Linked DNA regions of Mus musculus: regions 1 and 2 are each reported to be linked to region 3. The links are microRNA targets in miRTarBase. Many come from high-throughput screens and were not tested one by one. Region 3 holds a microRNA gene; each other region holds the end of a gene's coding sequence.
Evidence for each region. The annotated mature microRNA mmu-miR-1839-3p reads AGACCUACUUAUCUACCAACAGC and lies in region 3 at 2,510-2,532, shown strand. An mRNA with a match to its seed (bases 2 to 7 or 8) in the 3' UTR can be bound and repressed. Matches are read on the target gene's strand: a 7mer-m8 pairs with bases 2 to 8, a 7mer-A1 pairs with bases 2 to 7 and ends in A, and an 8mer does both.

Region 1: the mRNA of Reep3 is a reported target of mmu-miR-1839-3p. Seed matches in the 3' UTR shown: 8mer at 2,909-2,916.
Region 2: the mRNA of Myo9a is a reported target of mmu-miR-1839-3p. Seed matches in the 3' UTR shown: 7mer-A1 at 2,859-2,865, 7mer-m8 at 3,057-3,063, 7mer-A1 at 3,557-3,563 and 7mer-A1 at 4,235-4,241.

The regions. Positions count from the first base shown.
Region 1 is chr10:67,008,791-67,014,252 of GRCm38, reverse strand. It overlaps Reep3 (receptor accessory protein 3), which reads left to right. Exons shown (of 8, transcript NM_178606.5): 8 at 467-5,064. The coding sequence ends at 523. All of the region lies in intron 1 of Gm31763 (predicted gene, 31763), which reads right to left. Among named protein-coding and RNA genes, the nearest start is that of Gm31763, 6.4 kb to the right of the region's middle.
Region 2 is chr9:59,924,228-59,929,689 of GRCm38, forward strand. It overlaps Myo9a (myosin IXa), which reads left to right. Exons shown (of 44, transcript NM_173018.2): 44 at 344-4,639. The coding sequence ends at 804. All of the region lies in intron 2 of Gm20275 (predicted gene, 20275), which reads right to left. Among named protein-coding and RNA genes, the nearest start is that of Gm20275, 14 kb to the right of the region's middle.
Region 3 is chr7:81,527,449-81,532,910 of GRCm38, forward strand. It overlaps Mir1839 (microRNA 1839), which reads left to right and starts at 2,468; the gene lies at 2,468-2,540. It overlaps 2900076A07Rik (RIKEN cDNA 2900076A07 gene), which reads left to right. Exons shown (of 4, transcript NR_160675.1): 2 at 1,339-1,492; 3 at 1,899-2,079; 4 at 3,763-4,050.

The sequences.
Region 1 (5,462 bases), not on the chromosome of region 3:
TTGACTGGTTGGTTGGTTGGTTGGTTGGTTGGTTGATTTTTGATTGATTAATTGGTTGGTTGAATAATTGACTTGGGTGCTGTATTAGGAATTGAACAAGGACCCCATGCAGGCTATGCAAGAACGACACTTCCGAGCTACATTAGCAGCACATTTTATTTTGAGGTAAGAACTCAGTAAGTTGTCATTCTGTGGCCCAGGCCCAGGTAGATCCTGAACTTACAGTCATCAGGCTTGGGTCTCCCAAGCAGCTGACAAAGAAGCTGATTCTTTATGCCAGATGAGTAAAACCGTTACTATGGCGACAAAATATTAAAACTTTCCTAATTTTAAAAAGTAGTCAGTCCCTTTAGTTTTGTTTGTTTTAGTTTGGTTTAGCCAGTATACAGAGTAACAAATCCTTAACGGCTTTTCCATAGTCATTTTGGCTTTCCTATTGTTAACCCTAACACTTTTCTTTCTTCAGGTGCGGTATGGCTCACTAAAATATAAAGTGAAGAAGAGACCGCAAGTGTATTTTTAGTGTCTACACCTTGCCCTTCCCAAGATGAATAAACCGCTAACAGATCAACTTCATTTTCTAACCTGATGTATTCAGGGCTTAACACTTTAAATCTTCAGAGTGTGGCAGGGATGGGATTTACGCAATGACTTTAAATGGTCTGTGTTTCTTTAACAATTACTTTTAGATGTTTAACTGCTAAACTTAGTTATGTAAGGTTTGTAAATGTACGTGTAGATAACAAAAGTGACCGAGAATCGCGTCCCTGATGTCAGCAGCAACACTGAGTGCCTAGGGCCTAAGGATAAAGCCTAGCTAGACCCAGGGCAGACTTCAAAAGTCTCTGCTCCAGGACACACCTGCCTGCCGTTCTGGTGTTGCATTCTGTTTACATCATCTTGCCTGCATCTATCACAGGAGAGTGGTGACAGCCCCTGAGGAGCCAGTGTCATTGCCATAGGAGGGGGCTGTGTCCTTCCTTAAGCCTTAGACGCTGAAAGTTTTTTAAACAAATGATTTGAAAACCAGGTGTCCACATAGCACTTTCCTGGCTAGTTTTGCACACTTGAAAATTGTTTACTTATTTTACAACTGTACATTTACATTTTCCTGATGCTGTCTGTTTTGTTGTCTGTCATATTCCGACATGTCAAGATCATGCCTTGAAACCGCGTCATCTCCTTTTCCTATGGGTTTGTTTCGTTTGGTAAATCCATTCAGCCCATTATAGACACATAACTGTTAAGTTTGTAGTCTTTTGTTTTGTTTTATTGAGGTAGGGTCTCTTCCCTGATCCTCGTCCTGCTTCCACTTCGCCATTGCTGGGATAACAGACGTTATCACACTTGGCTCATTTTAAATGCCCTTCAGTTATATTCCGGACATCTGAGAAGTTATCTTAAACATTAACCAGTTTCCATCATTGAATTTGATGTGGTTTTTCTCAACAGCAAATTATTCTAGGTTATTCTAGGTTAAAAAAAAAAAAGCTTTTGGGGGCTGGAGAGGTGGCTCAGAGGTAAAGAGCACTGGCTGCTCTTCCAGAGGTCCTGAGTTCAAATCCCATCACCCACGTGGCAGCTCACAACTGTCTGCAATCCAGCTCCAAGTGATTTGACACCCTCACACAGATATGCGTACAGGCAAAACACCAATGCACATTAGATAGAGATAGATAGATAGATAGATAGATAGATAGATAGATAGATAGATAGATAGATATTAGATAGATAGATAGATAGATAGATAGATAGATAGATAGATAGATAGATAGATTGATTTTGTGGAAGCGTCACAGACCAATGTAGCACTTAGTGTTTTCTAACTCATGGACTTCCCAATGCCCACACTCAGCTCCTGAGCTCGGCAGAGGCCTATGCTGCCTTACAGACCCAGCAATGACTAACATCTTTTAGATCTTTTTCTGCCTGAGATTATTCTCTGAAAATGAGTGTCAGGGTAAAACACAAACACCATTGATGCTACGTAACAGGCTTCCAGAAAAATGCCATCTTTTATTTTATTTTATTTTATTTTATTTTTGGGTTTTTTTTTTTCGAGACAGGGTTTCTCTGTATAGCCCTGGCTCTCCTGGAACTCACTCTGGAGACCAGGCTAAAGGCCTTCTTTTTAATCTAACAGATTTAGAGGGATTGAACTCAGCTCCTTTTAGGTTGCCCTACTAACTGGACATTGTGGACACTAAATCATATTGGGGTGATGAATAATCAAATTTTCAATATCAAACAATGCTTACATGGGGGTGCCTGAATGGCCCACACACACAATGACCTCTTGATACTACGAATATTTTCTACACAGAATCACATTGTTAATATTTTTAACACGAAATAAAAATTCAATCTTTTTCCTCCCCAATTTAATCTTGTATCTCCATCTACTTTGCTTTGACTAATAGCCTCTTCCTTTCGAAAAGGATTCTTTAATTTCTATTCAAACATCTATAAAGTCCCACAATAAATTATTGGACAGGATGTATTCATTTCTCATGAACCAGACCTGCTCTGAACCAATGCTGTGCGGCATGGGTGGTTTTCCCTGCAGAGGCCGTGTTACCTGATAAGGTGATGTGATAAGTACAGTAAGTTACTTTGTCTCCATGGGGACAAATTGGCAAGATTGTATCATATTCAAGTCCAGTATCAGTATTAAACTTACCCTTAGGAGCTAAGGATAGACACCATGCTTGAGGTACACAAGGCCTTGAGTTCAATCCCAAAACCAAAAAAAAAAAAAAAAAAGATAGTTAAAACAAACTTATTATTATTTAATGAGTTTGTATACTATTTGTTTCTTCTTTTGACTTTTGTTTGTTTGGGTGGAGGGTGTTTTGTTTTGTGAGACAGAGTCTCTCTGTGTAGCCCTGGCTGTCCTGGAATTCACTCTGTAGGTCAGGCTGGCCTCAAACTCACAAAGCTCCACCTGCCGCTGCCTCCCAGATGCTGCCATTAGAGGTGTGTCCCACCATGCCCAAGTTGTTTTGAGACTAAGCCTCACTCTAGCCAGCCTGAAATGCACTGTGTAGCCCAGGCTTACTTCCAGTATATGGTCACTCTGGATGCCTCCGCCGCCTTTTTTTTTTAAATATTTTTTATTATTATGTATTTTCCTCAATTACATTTGGAATGCTATCCCAAAGGTCCCCCATACCCTCCCCCCCCCCCACTTCCCTACCCACCCATTCCCATTTTTTGGCTCTGGCATTCCCCTGTATTGGGGCATATAAAGTTTGCGTGTCCAATGGGCCTCTCTTTCCAGTGATGGCCGACTAGGCCATCTTTTGATACATATGCAGCTAGAGTCAACAACATTATGCCTCCGCCTTCTAAGTGCTGAGATTACAGGTGTGTGGCTCCATACCCTACTTCACAGGCGTTTTAAATTGGGAGAAATATCACGTTCTAGAATCAAAATTCTCAAGCAAAGATACCGCCTGACTCGGAGCTAAAGTTGGCTGACCTGCTCACTGCCGTTCACCCTCCCGGTCCTGGTCCCTGCTCGGGCTTGTCCCTGCTGTAGACATGCTCATATGCGCTTGATGACTGTCCTACCCCGCTTTGTTTCTGTCCCCAAGGTCTCATGTCATAGCATGCCCTTTTCTTTGAACTCTGTATGCTGAGCTAAAGCGCTGTTTTGTTCTGTTTCTCTTAAAGAGGACCGGGTCACCTTGTTTGTTTCTGCTTTTGAGCATGCTGATTTTTTCAAGAGATGTAAATTTATTCATAGACCACAGTGCCTTGACTTAACCCACACTGCCAACTGGAGCACCAGCACGCGAATGCACAAACCGGTTTAAGGCACTGTTTCTCTCTGCCTTTTGACATGTATCCAAAAATTATAGCCTACTAGCATTTCATCTTAGTATCCAGTCGTTCAGCATGATCACTAACATTCCCCGTACTTAGCTGTTGTTTAAGTATAAAAATTGATATGTCTATACTGTGTCTTTCTTTTTCCTTTCTGGTATTAAGAAGAGCCATAGCTGGAGAGATGGCTCTGTTTTAAGAATGCATACTGCTCTTACAGAGGACCTGGATTCAGTTCTTAGTGCCTAAGCCAGGTGTTTAGTTCACTGCAGCCTGCAGTGCCAGCTCCTGGGGGTACAATACCTTCCTCTGATTTCCAAGGGCACCTACGTGCATGTGAACATTCTTTCTCACGGATACACATACACACATCATTTGAAATTAAAAAAAAAAAATCCTGTGAAAAACAAAAAGGAACCAGAAATAAGCTGATTACTACATAAACAATTGTCTACGGCCACCTCAGTTCCTCATAGGTCCCCTCCACACACACTGTGTGTGTTTTCTAGGGCTAAAAAAATGAGATCTTGCTATCGTTTCTAGCAATAAACACTTTAGCACATAGAGGTCTGGGACAGAACTAACTCCTCATGTGTTTTCAGGGATCTTATTCCATGTGTCACCACCAAAGACTTCCACAGTATTATAAAACATGTAACTACTCTAAAATGACGTCAGCCCTTGGCTACATCGTCTTCTTTCTCTTTTGTACATTTGGAGAAATGCCTGAACCTTAATGGTATTACTATAATACTGTCTTATATTAACTGTAGGGTTTTTTCATTGGAATATTGTCTGCCATTGGAGGGGCGGGGGAGACAACGAATGAAGATCTAAATACAGAAATCTGAACACAAGTTCCAAAGCGTGTCCTCTGACCTCTCCCTTTTAGGTTGACTTATTTGTGAAACAGGTAAAATTTGAGAGGGTCATTGTTTTGTGGTTTGTACTATTTCTTAAGAAACATACCCTAAGATTAAATTTTTTCTGAAAAGAAAGTATCTTTTTTTCCTAAGTACTTCTCAAGTTAGTCTTTTAGTGGGAATTCTGCCGATTAACCTTGACTTAACATTTTTTTCCTTCTAATATATATTTTTTAACTCTGTGTACTTTAATACTTTAAGTGGAAATAATTTTATAAAATCTCTGTTAAATCTCAAGCCCCAAATGTGGGTGGCTCTGCATGTGTGTTTTGGGAAACTTTTACAATAAAGTAAACTCATTTTATTAGTGGCAGCTGAGTATTTTTTTTTCTTTATGTGTCTGAATATGTATGTTGAAGTCTGTGAATTGATGTCCTTTATTGTTCGTTATTAGTAACAGAGAACATGTCCATGTCCTTCAGCTTGCAGCAAGTCAGGACTGTTGTTACTTTCTGTAAAGCTTCACTTGGGCTGAGGAAGGAGTCCTGGGTTGTGAAGTCTGGATGCTAAGACAGAGAAGCAGGGCAGACACCACAGGAACTTTGTCACAGTGACTGACAGACTGTCTTCAGCATCGAGTGTTAACAGAAAATTCAGGTTTGTGGATGCTGAAAGTGTTCTGGAGTTCTGTCTGTCTGAAAGGCAGAGGAGGTTTGTCTGCATCGGGTTTTAACTTTAGAGATAAATCCTGATCTAAAAGCTTGGGAGGCA
Region 2 (5,462 bases), not on the chromosome of region 3:
GCTGGCCTCGAACTCAGAAATCCGCCTGCCTCTGCCTCCCGAGTGCTGGGATTAAAGGCGTGCGCCACCATGCCCGGCAATTTTTTTTTTTAATGTTAAAAAAAACTTTCTCAGGTTCAGTCTGGTTGGTGGTGCATACTTTTAATCCCAGATTCAGGAGACAGATCGCTGTAAGTTTGAGGCCAGCTCCAAGACAGCTTTTACAATAATGATTCTGCACAAAAGAGATTGACTAAATCCTCAGAACTTTTTACCCATTCAGTTTCACATGTGAACAGTAGCTTCATTACATGATGTTGCATAGGTAGACACTATTATGTACAACTTTATTTTCTGTTTTTAGAGAGAAGTTTAGCCCTTAGCTCCCTGAAAGCAGCTGGCAAGTCTGAACCTTCAAGCAAGTCGCGGAAGCAGCTAAGAAAGCAGCCAGACTCTCTAGACTCCGTCAGCTCCTCCGTTTCTTCATGTCTATCAAACACTACATCATCTCATGGCACTAGAAAGCGATTTCAGATTTATTCCAAGTCTCCATTTTACCGAGCTGCTTCAGCTTGTGAGGCCCAGGGAACGGAAGGACCGCTAGGCCAAGCCAAATCCCTAGAAGACAGGCCTCAGTTCATCAGCAGAGGAACCTTCAACCCTGAAAAGGGCAAACAAAAACTAAAGAATGTGAAAAACTCACCTCAGAAAACCAAAGAGACCCCAGAGGGGACAGTCACATCTGGCCGAAAGAAAACTGTGGACTCAGACTGCAGCTCCACACAGCAACTACCACTGTTTGGAAATAATGAGTTTATGGTCTAAATGGACAGATGTGTCCCCAGATCTCATCTTTGGGGCCTCTTCTGGTCACCTTGTTTGTAACAGTCGGTCCTAATGGTCCTGCCTCGTTTCAGCAGACAGATTGTATGCTGGATCACTGGGCTTCTGGCAAAAGTGGCCGCTTTGAAGTTTGCTAGGGATGGGCCAGCTGTGCCTTGGCTGCTGTATTTGATTTGAGAGTCCACTGAACAAAGCCACCTGGGACCTGGGGGATTTTGGCCAATAATAGTTGCTTCTTGCCCACCTACTTTTCCCTTCCCACAGATAGTTGCTGAACTAGGGAGCTATTGTGATCCTGAGGTATGCTCTCATTTCTAGCATTTAAAGAAAACATACAAACCTCTGTTAACCATGGAAACAAAAGCTTTTGAGTTTGTATTGGAATAGTTAGGAACTGTGTTAGAATATAAAAATTTCCCCAAGGATTTATAAGCCCTCTATTTTAAATTTAATTACAAAACATTCAATGTTATCTTTTGGAAACCTAAACTGATTTCCATTAAGCCCAGAGTGTCTCAGCTACAGGAATGTGAAGAGACCATGCTTTGTCTCTTGTTGATATTTGGTATTATAGTCAGTGCTGGTTTAACGCTTGGTTAATTCCTGCCAAATATATTTCATGGGGTAAAGTTCTGGTAGCCATACTGTATTGGTATGCCCTGATTATAGATCAGACTCCTCTAGGTTTTTGTTTGAAATATGTCACAGGCACATTTAGGTAATTCCTAAATGTGAACGCATCATCCTGATTGATCCAAGCTTTTCTTTTTGTATAAACTGAAGACTGTATCCGAGCCTACTCATCTGCTGGTGGAGTACCACCATAGATGTAACCATTTCATCACTTATCTAGGAGTACTCACATACATACAACTGTGCATGAGTGTTATAGAAAAAGCCGCCAAAAGAAGTCTAGAAAGTTTAAATATGATCTATTTAATTTTTGTCTTCTTATCAGACCATCAGTATTAGATGAAAAAAATCAAGGACTACTTGAAGCTATTTTTGTTAATATTCTTGTTCCTGAAGTTTACTGTAAATACACATGTATAATATGCCTAGTTCTTTTTAACCTTGTGCTTTCCCCTTATTCCCATTGAGTTTCTCCCTACAGATAAGAGGCCATTAGACAGGTGGTGAGAGCCATTCACCCCCGGGGTGAGGAATAAGTAAGGGCATCTTTTTCATCACTGGTAGTTTCCATAAGTTATAATGTCAGAAGCATCATGTACTAGCAATTGTGGGACTAGAACTCTGTTTTTGCTATTTATGTTATGTGAAGTGAAACATGATACCATTTCTTAAGTATATGAAATGTTTATTTTTAAAGTCACTAAATACATTTTGTCTAACTACCACATGCACTGTTACAAGAAGAGCCTTTAATATCCATAACCTGAATTTTGGTTTTCTCCTCCTCCTCTTCTTTTCCTTCTCCTCCTTCTCCTTTTTTGGTTTGAAGTTACAGGAATAGAAGTCTTTTGTTAAGGCAAGGTCTCTCCTCCTACACAACACTGAACCTCACGCCACTGCAATAGTGGTCATTGGCCGGCTCTAGAGATGAGACTTGTAGCATTATTTTGCACAGCAGCTCATGGTGGCTGGAGTCTTCCCTCTCCATGGTATGGGTTCAGCATTGAGACACATGAAGGAAGTTTTGAAAATCTCCCCGATGATGATGGTCATTCAGTAAATGCTAACTTTTATATCCCTCCAGCATTAACAATAAGAGTTTTGGAAACTGTTCTACAGGAAGCCAGCATGGCTGTGATATGGTGGGGTGCTGTTTTGGGCCTTTCTGGCTATACAGTCTGTTATAGTATTTGGGGAAAGTAGCTGCTACTGGGTGGTAACTGTTGCTAACTGTTGCTCTCCACTTGGCTCAGAACAATTTCCTTTGTTTCAGAGGAATGTCCTGGAACTCAGCACTTGACACACATTCTCCCTCCTAAAGTTTTACAGCTCAGTTTTTTGTTTTTATTATTTCTATAAAGTAAATTTGGGGCTGAGAAAAAAAAAAAACCAACCTACCTACATAGGTCACCTTGTAGGAACTAGGTAATCAATATTAAAGACTTTATAATTTTTCTCAGGGACCTAAAACCTGAATTTGAATAAAGTTAAATAAAAACTTTTTTTTTCATTTGCTAGATTTGTGGATTTTTTAATCATTTAACAAGCCGCCAGGATGGGTGGGGGAAATCCACACAACTATAAGAATGTCTCGGCAAAGTGTAGGTCCCTGTAAGGAAAAGAGTGCTGTTGTTCTTGGGTTAGCAGGCACTATTGATCTGATAGAGACGAAGCCATAACTCAGTAGTGTCAGATGTCTGGCTCCATCAGTTCTTAACAGAGCCTCTGAATCCTCACCCATGATACAGATCCACATAGAGTTCACTGTTATGTCTGTCTAGCTGCTTTTCTTCAGTCTTAAAATGCACCAAAAGAAACTCTCTGGCAGCAGCAGAGTGTCTCACATGTGGAACCTGTGCTCCAAACTTCAGAGCATCCTAGTTATGTCACATACTTCTAGTCCACAATAACTCCTACATTTTTCCCTACTCATTAATATGTGTCTGTAGCTGTGTGTCATAGAAAATGTAGCAGAAGCAAACAATACATTTTGCATCACAGACTGAAGCAAATTACAGCAAATGCAGGCAGGATTCAGGGAGGTGACACACTTAGTTTGCACATATTTGTACTTCCTGCCATTTTGATTATATGACCATTCTAGGTCATACACACAAACGGAGATATGAGTATTGCTAGGAGAGACAAAAGGATGTGAGTTCAGGGCACAGGTCACTAGGGCCAGCTCTCAGGCTTTGGAAACCTATCACTCTCACCTTGCATAGGGTATGAAGACTGTTCTGTGTCTCAATCAAAGACAGTGTCACGGAAATGTGCTCATATGAGGTGATACATTGAGGCTGTATCATTCCACCTTTGTGCCTGTGAGCTGTGTTTTCAACTGTAACTAATAAGCTAGAGCGAAGGAAGGATTCTCAGGTGTGTGACGCTGAGAGTTATAACTGGAGAAAGAAGTTTGTCCAGATGGCTTTCTCACTTTAAAAATTCTTGGTGGGGAAATAGATGTGGGCCCTGCATTCTTCTGTGTTGAATGGTGTGTTATATGCACCCACACACTTGTGATAACTTCCTAGCACTGTGTCCCAACACCATGCTGGCCTTAGTAGTAAAATTTTTTAGGTATTTGTAGAAGACCTGACTTTCTGCATCCCTAAGAGACCACATTTCTCTGGAACATTCTCACACTTTTGGTGTTAAGTGGGTAATCTCCAGTGTATTAGATCTTACTGATCTCCTGGTTTAAACTTCAAAAAAGCCCTAGCAATGGGTCTGTCACCTTGTCACCTGTCCACTCTTAATGCCTATTTATCAGCCCTCTTAGGTCATATAAGAGTTGCACCTCTTGAACCAAGTATTTGTATTTACTATGGGAAAGGTGTAGACTACAGATTAGTATTATATTATTTTAATGGACTCAAAGTAATTTATAAGTATGGTGAGTGTAAAGTTTTAAAATACTGTGTATTATAAAAGGACACAACCTGTGAAATATGCCACTTTACTGTTTAAGAATTCTATAAGAATGACTTATTCACAGAACTGATTACATTCCTGATGAAATCAGCAGCACTTTGTAATTTCCTTTTTTTTTGGAAGGGGGCAAGACATTTGTATAAAGTGCAGTTTGTGTCACTCAGAGTATGCACTGTATAGCTACACAAAAGCAGCCTGCTGAACAAATCACTCCATGGCTCATTAAAGAACAAAGCTTCCAGAAGTGCAATATGTGTGGTTTGTTTTCTGGCTTCCAATCAGACTCATAGCCCAAAGGAACACCACTTACTACTTATACTAATAAAATTAAAGGAAAGGATCCAATTCCCAACTGATGAGTGCAGAAATGACAGCTGTTAGAACTCAACTGAAGAAGAGCAAGCCAAGGTCAAGGAGAGAACTAGAGGCACCTAGCAGTCACTTCCTGTGAAGAAAAAAACCCAAACAACAATGTATAGTTGAATTTTCCAGTGAGGGACAGTTGAAAGAAGGACTTCAGAATCTTATGAGATTCAGAGGCCTGGGACAAAGCTACAGTAAAAAACAAATATTCTGACACCTGGAGACCCTGCCTCACAACAGGGAAGGAAAGCTGATGCAGCTTTATAGAGATGCAGGGGGAAAAGTCTCAGCTCACACAACCAGTCTGGATTCTGGCAATCCCAGCTGTTGGAATGATTCACAACCCACACCAGCTTAGATAGCTAACCTAAAGACTGTACAGTAGCCTTGCTTTGAAAACAATTCTTATATCATCTTCCTGTGAGCCCTCAGTGCTGTAACTAGGAGCTACCTAAGAAGAGGACTTCTGTTTTAATCAGGATGGCTCCAGGGATCAGAAAACCTTACACATTCCTGGCTCTGAGAACCCATAGATGTATTGTGTTAGCTCATCAGCTGGCTGCCTTGTGATCCCAACGTTGCTGGAGAAGTACCTCTGAGTCAAATGCACTGCTGAGTACATGGTACAAAGGGGATGGTAGTAGAGGGTGTTGCCTATAGTGTCACGAGTGACTGCTTTCCAGGATAGGGGTGGGGGCATATTGCGCTAT
Region 3 (5,462 bases):
TTTCTGCAAACACCATGGCCAGCAGTGTCATGTCAAACTCTGTGAGTCTGACCCGGTGGTTTATTTAAGGTATATTTTATATAGTACAGTTTGGAAAATGTTTCCTTGTATAACTCCATGTGCCGGTAGGGCATGGTTACCTTGAAACTCTTTTCAAAGTATGTGTCACTTCTTCATGGTAGGTATAGAATCCATCATGGAGTCTGTATAGACTACATGCATTATCTTCAGGGTCTTGGAGAAGATCTCCAGGCTCTGGATGTGGTCTCAGTCATACAGATAGTGCAAAGGTCACTACACTATTAACCATCTCCAGTTCTGTTTTTAAGGGATGGAGACAGGTGTGGCCTGGCCCTACAAATAGCACAGAGGTCACCGGGCTTTTAACAACATCCATTCTCAGCCTTCTGGGCAGAGAATAGGTTAGACATCTTTTCCTCTGAAGAGACAGCTCCGCGTGTTTAACATTCCTGGTTTCCCTGGTGCTTATATGTGAGCACCAGGGCTCTGTGCCCTCTACAGTAAACTAAAAATAGCCAATATGTCTTACGTTGTACCTTGAGATAGTTTGAATAGGTATAAGTGTTTGAATGCTTACCTATAGGGAGTGGCACTTTTTGGAGGTGTGGCCTAGTTAGAGTTGGTATGGCCTTGTTGGATGAATTGTGTCACTGTGAGGACAGGCTATGATGTCTCCTATGCTCAAGTTACACCCAGTGTGACATACAGTCTCCTTCTGCTGCCTGTGGATCAAGATGTAGAACTTTTGGCGTCTGTCTGCACACTGCCATGCTTCCGGCCTTGATCATAATGAACTAAACCTCTGAAACTGTAAGCCAGCCCCAAGTAAATGTTGTCCAAGTAAAAGTTGCCTTGGTCATAGTGTCTTTCACAGCAATAAAAACCAAACTAAGACATGCTTAAAATGTCAGGTAGGTGGTTAAACTTAGTGGGTTAGAGGAATATTTATACATTTATCTGGACCAAGAATTATGAACCAAATTTATGATTCAGAGCTTGTAAAATAACATATGATAGACCTTCGGGTTATCTTAGGAATAGTCAATGCTACAGCAAGTATTAAATGTGAGTGTCAGAGCTCTCTTGTACTAATGACATCCAGCACCAGCCTTGGTCCTTCCACACTCATTCTCTGCACAGATCAGAAGTAACTACAATTACTGAGGGACTGTGTCAGACCCCTAGGTATTAGGACAGAAGACAACTTAGCCTCATCCCACAGCCCCAAGAGCATACACTGGACGGCTGCTTTGATTTCTAATGGAAAAGCTTTCCTTTGATTTGTGGGATAAGTTGATGTCTCATTTCTCTCTTCAGGTATATATATGTATTACCTGAAAGCCCAGGGCAGTTGTTGCCTTGGGTCATGCAGAGAATATGCAGCCACACCCATGCCTTAGATGTGTGTAATTCAAGTGGAGAAGACACAAGCCAGTGGTCGCAATATCAACACTTGAGTGTTCTGTAAACGGTGAGTGTGAGAGGTGGGAGTCAGCCAGTGCGTCTCAGAGGTGATTTAGAGCCATCAGGAGGACAGGAGGAGCTGCGCTGTAGGTGTTAGGGATCTCCTAGTTGATGGCTTATACAGTGTACATGGTAATAAGACAGTACGGAGTCTTACACTTTTCCCAGTGTGCCGGCCTTGTTTTCACTTCCTGTTTCGCTCTTGCTGCTTCTCTCCCCTTAGATTAATGTTTGCCATGTGCAAGGAAATGGCAGAGGCAAAATGCTGGCGGCTTATGGAAAAATAATTTATAAAAAAATGATGGGTTAGTTCTGCCAAATTTGAGTAAGTGAGAACACGAGAAACCATATTCTGTTAGAGCTTGAGAAAAGGAAGGAAAGTCAAACGGTGAGTCTAACCTCATTTATTCCAGGATTGGTGTCAGCAGAAAACCAACAGTGATGTGGTGGCACACAGTGAACTGACAGGACCCAGGCAGCAGCGGTTCTTTTGGTGGCAATGGTGCCATGTCATGGGTACTCTCCTTGCTGATGGCAGATACCGACAGGCAAACTGTTGCCTTGCGTTTAGCTCTGTTAACCATTGACAGTAAGGTAAGCATGTCTTCAGCGTTCATGGCTCTTAAAGATCTTGTCTGTAACACAAGGGTTTAAGACTGGGGTCTCATTTTGTTGTCCTGACTTAGACTTGGCAGTCCTCCTGCTTCAGCCTGCTAAGTGCCAAGATTACAGGGTTGAGCCAGCATGCCTAACTTCTAGTTTAGTTTCTTCAGACAGGGTCTCATGCAGCACAGGCTGGCTTTAGACTTGCTATTGAGCATAGGATTACCTTGAACCCTTGATCTTCCTGACTCTACCTTCTAAGTTCTGGGATTCCAGGCATGCTCAGTTAAAACAATAGGTGGATTTAGTCATATTCTTCTGGAGACTAAGACAATAGAGTCCTTGAAGTCAAGCTGACTCTGCCTTTAGCCTCCTACATGAAAAGGTAGATAGAACAGGTCTTGTTTGCAAAATAAATTCAAGACCTACTTATCTACCAACAGCCATTGCCTACGTCCCACAGTCTTCCTACAAGAAGTGGGTGCAGTGAACTCCTAGATGAGGAAGGCTGGGAAAGCCAGAGTGGACACAGTCTCTACTAGTGATAGAAAGGTGCTTGGAGGTCAGACAGGCGGGTTAGAAAGTTGAGAACTTGTTTCCTATAATGCAGGTTTGAGGAATCCAAAAAGTGTATTGTCACTTACACAATTCTGCATCACAATGAATTGTAGGTGGGTCACGTAGGGCAGTAGTTGTACCAGATGTGAGGGTGAGACGCTGAGACGCCCAGCTGCCCATAAACTGGTTCTGTTTGTACTAAAGGGCAAGTACACGCTTCAGAAATATTTTATTTCATGTGCACAAGTGATTACCATCATTTGAAAAGGCAGGGAGCTGATATGTGTGTGTGTGTGTATGTGTGTGTGTGTGTGTGATGAAGAGTGAAGAGGGGGCTTATGTGCCGTGGCACACATGAAGTTCAAAGACAACTCTCCTTCCATGGTGTCGGATTTGGGGATTGAACTCAGGTCCTCAGGTTTGGTAACAAGTACCCTTACCAGCCCCAGGAGCCAGCCATTAAACATACCAATTTTTTGCCATTTATAGTGGCTCATGCATGTAATCTCAGCATTTGAGAAGCTGAAGCAGGAGGCTTGCCACAAGTGTAAGGTCATCTTGGGCTACCTGGTGAGACACTGTCTCAAAAAACCCAAACCAAATAGCCACCACCACCAACAAAGTCCAAAACAAAAAAAGTAATTCTGTGAATGAAAGCTATTTAGTTTACCAGAAGCCAATGCTGTTTTATAGCCCATGTTCCTAACTACTTGTTCCTTCTCTCTGCTACTTGTTATGTTCTGGGTAGTGTGGCTTTTAAATGCTTGCAGTTTCCACCCACGTCCTGTGAAGGCTTTACAGACTCTCTCCCCTTTGCTAGGGTGTGGAGCCAACACCCGTGCGCTCACTCAGTCAAGAGTTAACGCGGTGGGGCAGGTAAAGCGGGAGAAGAGCGGATGTTGATGGAGTTTGGTTTATCTGCTTAGTATCAGGGTCGTGTGACAGTGGTCTCAGTGTTAAAGATACTTTTCTATGTTGAGCGTGGAGTTCAAGGCTAGCCTGGCCGAGTTATAGGCCCCCCAGGGCTACATAGTGAGACCCTATCTCAAACAAACATACAGATACTCACATATAAAAAAATGTTTTTAAATGTTTATCTGTTTTGTGTTTTAACAGATTTATCAGAGGTTGCAGCTGCACATGGCCATGAGGTAAACCTTGCCCCTGTTTGAAATTGAGTTTCATCAGCTTCTACATGGGATTATAAGGACTTGGAATATATCACAGACCCAGCAGGGTTTCCCCCCTCATTTTTTTTTTTTAAGATTTATTTTTCTTCCTAAAGATAACATGCTTAAACAAAGTTCTTTATGGTTAGTAACTGTGATGCTTGAAGTTGGTTATCCCTTACTCCAGTAAATTTTAAATGTCAAAGATATCTTGTTAAATAAAAAAAAAACTATCAAAATTTTTTGGGTATTATGTTTTAGTCATGTCCCCATATTTGTGTTATGTGCAAAGCAGTGCAGGAATCCCAGTAGACAACTCAAACTGCCCATGCCTGTGATCCACGTTTCCCATTTGGTGGTTTCTATTTCAGTAGTAGAGAACTTCTTTCACTAAATACACATGCATATTTCATTAACAGCTTCAGCCAGCTTGTGTTTACATCTGCAGTGCCTTATGTCAGGGTAAGAAGAAGTTGTGTGTGTGTGTGTGTGTGTGTGTGTGTGTGTGTGTGTGTGTGTGTGTGTGAGAAAGAGAGACAGAGAGACACAGACAGACAGACAAGCTCTGTGGGCAAGTGATAAATCAGGAATCTGAGCTGCTGCTTGCACTAGTAGAGTCCAGAAGGAGACGAGAGTTGTTACTGCATCAGAATTAGGGTGGGCTAGAAAACAAAATTCTAAAGAGAAGAGTGTCTCCCTGGGCAGTGAGTAGGACACACCTGCGTTGGCGGCATCAGGGGACTTGGTACTCAACAGTGTCCTGGTTTTTCTCAAGTGAAGTTATTACTCTGCAGCTGGAGTGCTAAGCTTTGACAGTGACTTGAGTTGGGGATTGGAAATGTGAACAGGGGAGCCAGCAATGGAGCTGGTGGAGACAGGCACCATGGTCCTTAGCTGAAGACAGTGAGGCAGGGCACCCAAGAGCTGCTGGCTACAGTGCGTTCCTCTCCCTAGGGCCCAGCTTTGACTTCGGTGAGCTGATGATTGCCTTGAAACATCATAAATATACAGTATGTCACTCATTACTTGGCACTTAGGTTTAGATGAAGCATCACATCCTTATGAGACAAATACAGTCTTTCCTTTGTTTGATGGGGAGCACTGGTCTGTAGGTTTTAGGCAAGTAGATACAAAATAGCAGTTGGACCCAGTCCTTGGCTTCAAATCCACTGCTTTTTCACTTCTTGATGGTTCCTTGATGAATCCTAGCTAATGCTCTTTCTCTTATCTCCATCTATCTGAGCCCCTTCCTCGGGACTCCATTCACCCCAATCACAAGTAGATTGTGTGTGTGGGCATGGCAGTAACTCTCCAGTGAGCCACAGGTAGCTTCTGTTCTTCACACTGCCTCCCTTAAGATTTTTCTCCTCCCTGCCATCTTTCCCACCAAGAGCAACATGAAGCCAAGAGCAGTGGAGCGTGAAGAAGGTGCTTCTTTAGGCAGCATGTATTGGCATGCAGCTGACGGCATGTTAGCCCCCAAAGTCAAGTTATAAACAAGGCACACAGTCTCTGCCTTTAGGCATCTTGGACGTAATTTCAGAGTTAGAGTGGAGTTAGAACCACCATGAAGCAGAAGACAGCGTGTTTCAACAGTGTGCATTTTGCCGTGCTGCTGCCAGCTTTTGTTAGGAAACACTGGGCTAG